Regions from separate parts of the Mus musculus genome. Here region 2 is reported to be linked to region 1. Evidence: microRNA targets listed by miRTarBase, many of them from high-throughput screens and not tested one by one. Region 1 holds a microRNA gene; the other region holds the end of a gene's coding sequence.

Region 1 (4,068 bases):
TGAAGGTGACAACAACACCATTAAAAACCCTGAAGGTGTCCTAGGGCCCAGAAAAGTCAAAGAACACCATAATCAGAAATGCTAGGATATTTGTACTTATACAAAAATCACTATGCTAAAAGTAATGAGACAGCTTGTTAGACTTATTCTACTCACACAGAAGAACTGGTTAACAGTTTAAGCAAATATGGCTCTGTATAGAATTTTAGCATGTAGGGCGGGCCTCAATCATGTCCTAATAGTATCCTATTTATCAATCTGCCTTAATGAGTATAAAACCTTAACATATATCATATTTATTCCTATCTTAGGGAATATTCCTTGTACATAACATACTATGTCCTACTATATGGTTGACTGCCAAACTTTGTGTTAATTCTCCAATCTATATGCGGCTATAAAGTTAACACTGGGAATCAAAATTGTACTTAGGTAACAGATTAGGACTGGTTACATTTTGTGTAACTACAGATAAAACACCCTGACCACATAATACCACCTGCAATGAAGAACACAATAAGCCCTACTCTACTCAGCTTGGTGTCTTTCATTCTTATAAACATGACAGGCACCAATCTGAATACAGCACTGCATACAAGAACTTTAATGAGAATGCTCTGCCCCAGATCCTTCATCTACATGTCACACAAATCATTCTGCCCCACTCAACATGAAAACTCACTTCTGTTTATATGTATATATTAGAAAACATTCCTACAGTAGGCTATGAGTTTCTAGTTCTTCACTGTATACTATGTCCTGGTCTCTATTTACAGTGTTGATTCTCAAATCTACATAGATAAAAGATGTATCATTTGTTGATTGTGGGTTTAGTTTCTTCTAAGTATTTTTTTCTTTAACCTACATGTTATAATTGTGTAAAAATTGAACATCTAAAATTATACTCTGGATAAATATGGATCCTGAGGGTTACATATGACTAATTACAATGAGGGATTCATGTCAAGTGTAACTGCACTGCACCACTCTGACCAATTAAGGCATAATAAATGAAGAATATCATGGGCCTTACTCTATTCAGCATGATGTCTTTCACAAATATTTCACATGATGGACACCAGTCTGAACACAGCACTGCACACAACATACTGCCCTCTCCCACTCCTATTTCAGTGTCCTGGACAAAAAGTTAAGTACTAGTTGCATGCTTTGCATCAGTATGACTGATGCTTCATCTTTTTTTCTCTACCATGTAGTAATAACCATCATATTTGAGGATCCTGTCTAAATTCACCTTGAGGATGTATGCTGTGAAGATAAATACAGTATATACTAGTTTTCATGAGCCTTCATCAATTCTTGTAGTCTAGTGTGATAGGTGAACACTAGATTTCTTTATTCACAGGTCCAGGAAATGACAAAATCCTTCACCTTTCATTTCTCCTTCTGAATGTTGTGATCCCAATTTTTTATCTCATTTTGCTGATATTAAATATCCATTAATAATAAACATATTACTTTTATAATTGCACTCTCTGACCATTTTGAGGCATGTGTACAACCTTAAGCACCTTTTAAGTCTAAAAAAGTGGGGCTTTAAATGAGAAATGATGAAAATGGTAGCAATCTCAAGGATGCCTTTGAAGACGAAGTATAAGGTCCAGGGTATACAAAGTAAGGAGCTTGTTGAACATTACTCACTCTGAGAGACCATGTGTACACGCACTTAAGTCTCACTGACATTAATGTGTATAGGGATTGACACTAAAAAGCTTTCAGGAGAAATAGTACTCAGCAGAGAAGAGCCCACCAACTGCTTTTCCATGGTCAGCACTGAAATAACATACATAAAACTTTCAAAATATGGACTAAGCAGGGCATGAATGAGAGAGAGAACAAAGGGGTTAGTTGATTAGAGTGGCTGAAGGGAAGAAACGAAAGGGGAGAATTATAAAATATTTTAATTTAAAAAGCACTTAAAAATTAAAATGAAACTAAACTTATTTTCCATAGTGCTATGTCCCTAATTTTAAATATTTTCACCTATGAGAAATAGGAATTAGATGAAAGGTTCCCCCTATATCTTCACCTAAACAATGTCCTGTGAAGGTAGCTACAATCGATCTTAGAATCAGAAAATACTCTTGCATGTGCATCTATGTTCTTACATTTACAATGACAGTACTTTATGAGTATCCTTATATTGAGAGAGATACCCCAAACTGTTTAAACTGTTTAAACCCTTTTCTTAAAGAGACTTCCTCCACTGCCAGAGATCTTGAATAGCCTCCTGGTCAGTCATCCGGAAACAATTCTTCACATAATTAATGAACTTGGCTTCCACTTTGGGAAGAGAACCGCCTTTTTCTATACTTGCTTGCATTTTTGCCTTAATGTCTTCTACAGAACTAGGTCCTTTTGGTGTTTTAGGAGTCTTTTCCTGTTTTTTGAAGGACTCTTGACCCTTTGATCTCGGTGTTGACGGTTTTAAGTCTTTTCCATTTTGGTTTGATTTTTGTGCATTTTTGGCTGGGGTATCTCGTACAGATTTCTTCACTGGGACCTTTTCTTCAGTTTCCTCTTCATCAAAATCATCATCATCATCATCCTCATCATCCTCATCATCGTCCTCATCATCTTCATCAAGTTTTACTTTTTTCTGTATCCTTATATTGAGAGAGGTTAGTAGAAAGTGACTGGTATCTGTCCTATATCACAATGCACACACCAAAATGAATGGAGACATATCATCTCATCTGACTCTTGCATTACCAAGAAGTTTCAGGAGTCCTTAACTCAAGTTCTTAGGGAATATATATACTCTCCTTCACTTTCTATCTCTACCACTTCTGGATCAGAGAGATAAAAGTCCTTTAACTTTATTTAATTACTGGGAAGGAAATTATTTTTTTTTTCTTTAGATTATCTTCTTTCTTTACATTCTCTATTTTGAAAGTACCCATGAGGTGAAACATGGATAGTCTACACTATGTTGAAAAAGTAAGGATATGGGGCAACAAAGACTCAAACCGTTTCTGTGTTTAGTCTTTCATTAACACAGTGTACCTCATTTTCTTTTTATGAAAGCATAATTCTTAATTTTAGCACCTTGTTCTCCTTTTCCTTACCTAACATAGATGCTTGAATGCTGTCCCATGAAAGTGATTAAAAAGATACACACAATTGTATAGTAAGGCTTTGTGATCATCCTGAAAACCATTATCAGTGATCTTACATGGAAAGCACTAATACTACCTAGAACCTATCAAAAATAACTGAATTAAAGAGCAGTACTTTACCTGGAAGATTTGTCGGTAGTCCAACTGTCTAACAGCTTCTTGAGTGAGATATAACATAAAGCATGAAGATATGGAGGTATCATCCATGTAGGCTAATCATCCCAAGCAGTTTTCATCACTTCACCAATTACAGCATGACATATTAACATTGATTTATTTATTTTCAACTGTTTGGGAATACAAAATATACTTTGTCACCTTGCATGATAAAGGAAGACCTCTTGACCTATAGCCAGATAGCCAGTGTGACTTTAAGATTAATCAGTGATATACTTTGCAAATGACTTTTAAAAACTAGGTAATGAAAATCTTCTAAAAGAATCAGAATATTGGGAGCATAGGATGAGAATACAACACAATTGTACCTGTATATCGCTGTTCAATTACTGGAGAAAGTTACAGAATACAGAAGATAGGAACTTGGTCTATTTAAATTCAAATCACTGATACCATCATAATTTCAGTGACTTGAATTTAAATCTGTTTGGTTCTTTTTCACTTAGGGCCATATTTATAAAGGAAGACTCTAATTACTTGTAGCTTTTCAGTCCACTTTCGTGCACTCATCATCTAAGTTGTCACAAGATATTTGAATTGATATTCAGTTGGGCCTGAAATCATTGATTGGTTTTATTTCTGATATTTATATTCATGATCCCTATTGAGACTGGCATGCAATTTTCTGTTCTTATAATTTGTATAATTTGGGTTCTGTGCAAGCTAGAATAATGCTAACTTCCACAACATTTAAACTTAAAAAAAAAATGAGAGCATAGTTTCTTCAGGTACAAGGAAGCAGATTCTGGAG
Region 2 (4,068 bases), not on the chromosome of region 1:
AAGGAGTCAATGGAAACCAGAAATTAACTTCACTAGATTCCTATGAAATAAAAAGTACTGCTATGATTATAAAAATGGAAGCAATAAAAGGGTTCAGAAATACACTCAAGTTTATAATCAATTAAAGGGTGAGCCATAATTTGACCCTATTCATCATCTGTCATATAAAAGCCACAGTTCAATTATTAAGATATATGATAAATAGTTCACATTTTAAAACATTTATCATTACATTATCAAATTTGGTAAACTCTTATCAAAACATCTCAGCATTCAATATAAACCATATTATTAAAAGTTTAAGGTAACAACAACAACAAAAAGCCCAGAGGTGTCAGGTAAATATTTCCTATTAAAGACACAATTTAACATTCAGAGCCACATAAACGCTCACTGAACGGTCATTCATGTTACAAGGGCATACTTTGTAAACAAGTATAACTTTTCCCAACACCATTTTCCATTTTTCATCCCCAAATTATTCTCTTAGGTCAACTTGCTCCTATTTGTATGCCAAAATGACAGGTTTCCAAACAGTCCTTAACAGCAACACACGTAAACACACAAGCAGGGTGGGCATGGAATGGCTCAAAAACTTATCATCAAAGAAAAAAATAAAAAAAGAACTCTGCACTCAGATCCTTGAGGGGGGAAAAAATGTCAACCTTGTTTAAGAATTATTCAGGAAAGAGATTACATAAAAGGCTCCCGATGGTTTCAGTGAGCGAATTTACCAACACTAAAACTTTTTAAAAGTTCGATGAGGGGTGCACTCACAGTGCCGCAGTATACAACTAACGCAGTTAAATAAACAACACAGCTGAGCACATTGTAAACATTACGGAGCAAACACGTGGCGTAGCTTCTCTTCCCCCAGATGTGCCATTACAGCGCTCGGCCATGAAAAGTCTTCAAGTCTAGTCTAGTTATGTGAAACACTAAAACACTGAAATAATATGGGAGAAGATTTAGTCATGGCAAATTTACTGAAGCTTTTATTGCCTCTGTGGGTAATATGACAGGGATTGGAAACGACACACTTGAACTTACAGAGATATGCAGATGATAGTCACTCAAGAGAACCTTGACCTCAAGTATTTTTATATGTGGGTACTTCTCATTTTATACAGTTTACTATTTAAAAAGCATTACATTTAAAAATGTGTACCTGTTCTGACATTTGGCAAAAAGTAAACTCTCCCTATGGTTCTGTCTGGAAAGAAAAGAATCAGCTTGGAGACCTGACCCACACGAAGACTGAACCCCATGATCCTCTGCCGGCAATAGCTGGCTGTGTGTGAGTGAGTGTGCCCTTCCTCTGGAAGACTCCCCGACGCCCCGCCCCCAATAGGGTAAGCATTTGTATTACAAAACATTTCCTAGAACCAGACAGTCACCCTCAGAATAAACACATTAAATCAATTTTCTCTTGGAGCCCTAGCAAGTCTTGTTTAATTCTAAGATGCCATCATGGTGAACAACCTTAACTCTTTTTGCTACATAATAAAAGCTTTATATATTTTTGTTTATAATTACACAGTAATTGTAAATGTTTAGTACCAAACTGATGACAAACACTATTTTGTTAAAAAGTCTTGCATTTAAAAATAAAATCTGTAAAACCCAAAGCATTAGGCCACACACAAATATCAAGATTTTTATGAAAAAAAATTTATGAGGCAGGGAAAGAAGCTAATGGAGTCTCATTTGAAAACAAATCATATCTGAATCAATCAATCTGAAAACAATACCAAAACTCAAAATGTTCCATGTAGGGAATAAACAATATAGGTCTGTAAAACTTTTAAAGATATATATACATATATCTTTAATTTTTTTCATAATTGAAGTTCTTTATATTTACAAAAAATGAAATCAAGAAATACTGAAAACAGCAAGATTCTTTTCCTTTTAATGACCAATCCCTGTAACGTGAATAGAAATTTACTCTAAGCTTCTTTTGGTAGAAATGCATTCCTAAATTAAAGTTATGATTGGATTAATGATATATCTGTAAGGTAAGCTTTCAATGCATTTTCCAAATCATGTGACTAAAAAGCAGTTTTAATCATTTCCATATCTGCATAAATTGTTCCGCTATCCTGAAGAACATTCCTTGGTACCCTGCAGAGGACCTGGATACATGAAGCAAAATCTGTTCCTATTGAAGACCAGTCACCCAACATTTAGTTCATCATTTTAACTTCCTCATGGAAATATGTATGAATACACCCCTTTCACATGTCAGTATGTTATCAGAGAAACAAGCATTTTCAGCAGGAGAGCAAGGCATGAGTCCTGTCATGGAAAAACAAAAAACAAAACCAATCAAGACTGCATTCTGCTGTGATGTGGAAATAGCAAATGCAAGTGAGACAAAAACAGTCAAAAGTCAAATAATTTATAGAACAGAAGCCATTGGTATCTGCACCAGTGCTCGCCTGTCTGACAATCTCTGCTTCTGGAGTAGACTTGGCAACCACAGTGATTTAGCAGTAAGCCATCTCAACAGTCAGCAGCCAACATGGCTGGACCACGCCTCAAAGAGCAGTGCCATGGGAGAAAGGTTGAACTTCACGGCTCATCACAACCATTTTCAAAATCTAAATCTTACTATCTTCTTATAAATTAAGTGAATTGCATTGTGTTCCATAGTGCGATGACAAAAAATTAAAAAAAAAAACAAACAAACCTAATACCCTCATGCCTAAATTTAGAATATTATATTGTATAGCAATCCAAAACATTCAAAACAAATGAAATAGTTTAACTTATTCAGAAGGCATAGAAGTATTTCAGAGCACAATGAAATCCGATTATGTGGTGTGTGATGCACGAGTGTGGAGTCTAACATCTGATCTCATTACAATATTTTTTTAAATAAAAGTTCACTGCAGGACACTGTATAAACATGGGTAAGATAACCACAGACCTGTTCTGTAGAACCTTTCTGAGCGTCTGAAACACAAGACATATTTCAGGGAGTCCCCAGATTATCCTTTTTTTTTTTCATGTGTTGGTTATTTTGATATTTCTTATATCAGGTATTCTACTCACACCAGCAGTACATGTAGTTTGCCAGGAAAATTAAATTCCCCCAACCAAACACCATTTCAGATGCGGTACACTCAGATAAATCACTCTCATTTGAAGTGCTGCCAGCACAGTCTTTGCAACTAGCCCAAAGCATATACTTAAGAAGTTTTTATAAATTGTTGTGGTGTTCATTATTATGTTTAATTCTTATGCCAAACTGTTTTCTGATGAAGACAGCATTGTGCTTTATGCAAGAATGGAAACCTCAAAATAATCACCATCAAGCTTCTATGACTTATGGGAAGACAGACTAAGATGGTCCACAGGTGTAAGATGAAATCCACAATGTCGGAATTATAAATGCTTAGAGTGGCCCAGACTAGAAGACAAGCCCAAACCACCAGTAGAAGAATGGAGTACGATATGGTCCAAGATGTATCCTTAAAAGTTTTGTCTCAACCCTCAGTTTGAATTATGAGGATTGATCTTCAGTCCAGCCAGCAGAAATTGACTGTGCATTTTCCGTTGTATTTATTGTACAGACTATGTACATTCTAGAAGGTTCCTTTAGTGCTACACTGTTGTACTTTTTGTCCCAGCAATTTGAGGGCGTGCAAATTCCACAAAGTCATCAATAAGGACAGGCCATGCTCCTGGAAAGAAAGAAAAAGAAAAAAAAAATATGAGAGGAAAGGGAACAGAGAAAAGCAGAATGAAAGCTATTATGTTGATAGAATCCTTTTATTTTATAACTTTCTTGTAAGAATTAGAGTATGTTACTCTTATCTACTCCCAGTGACCACTCTTTAAAAATATTTTTATGTCTTAATTTATTCCTGTCTTTAATATATTTTTCTAAAATGGGGTTATTGCTTAACCACTGGAAATATCTCTTCTGAGCAATAAATCAATAATACAGTAGTAGTATGGTTTTCAGAGAGTTTTATTAAAGTCAGGCAGTCTAGTTAGTGATGCTGTGACAAGCTGTCTAGTCCCTTCCTCATGAGCACCTCTGTTTAGTAAAGAGTATAA

The links. The annotated mature microRNA mmu-miR-743b-3p reads GAAAGACAUCAUGCUGAAUAGA and lies in region 1 at 1,034-1,055, opposite strand. An mRNA with a match to its seed (bases 2 to 7 or 8) in the 3' UTR can be bound and repressed. Matches are read on the target gene's strand: a 7mer-m8 pairs with bases 2 to 8, a 7mer-A1 pairs with bases 2 to 7 and ends in A, and an 8mer does both.
Region 2: the mRNA of Dcun1d1 is a reported target of mmu-miR-743b-3p. Seed matches in the 3' UTR shown: 8mer at 354-361.

The regions. Positions count from the first base shown.
Region 1 is chrX:66,776,233-66,780,300 of GRCm38, forward strand. It overlaps Mir743b (microRNA 743b), which reads right to left and starts at 1,100; the gene lies at 1,024-1,100. Mir743 (microRNA 743) reads right to left here and starts at 586; the gene lies at 525-586. It also overlaps the pseudogene Gm14681.
Region 2 is chr3:35,892,011-35,896,078 of GRCm38, forward strand. It overlaps Dcun1d1 (DCN1, defective in cullin neddylation 1, domain containing 1 (S. cerevisiae)), which reads right to left. Exons shown (of 7, transcript NM_001205361.1): 7 at 95-3,689. The coding sequence ends at 3,610. Among named protein-coding and RNA genes, the nearest start is that of Dcun1d1, 39 kb to the right of the region's middle.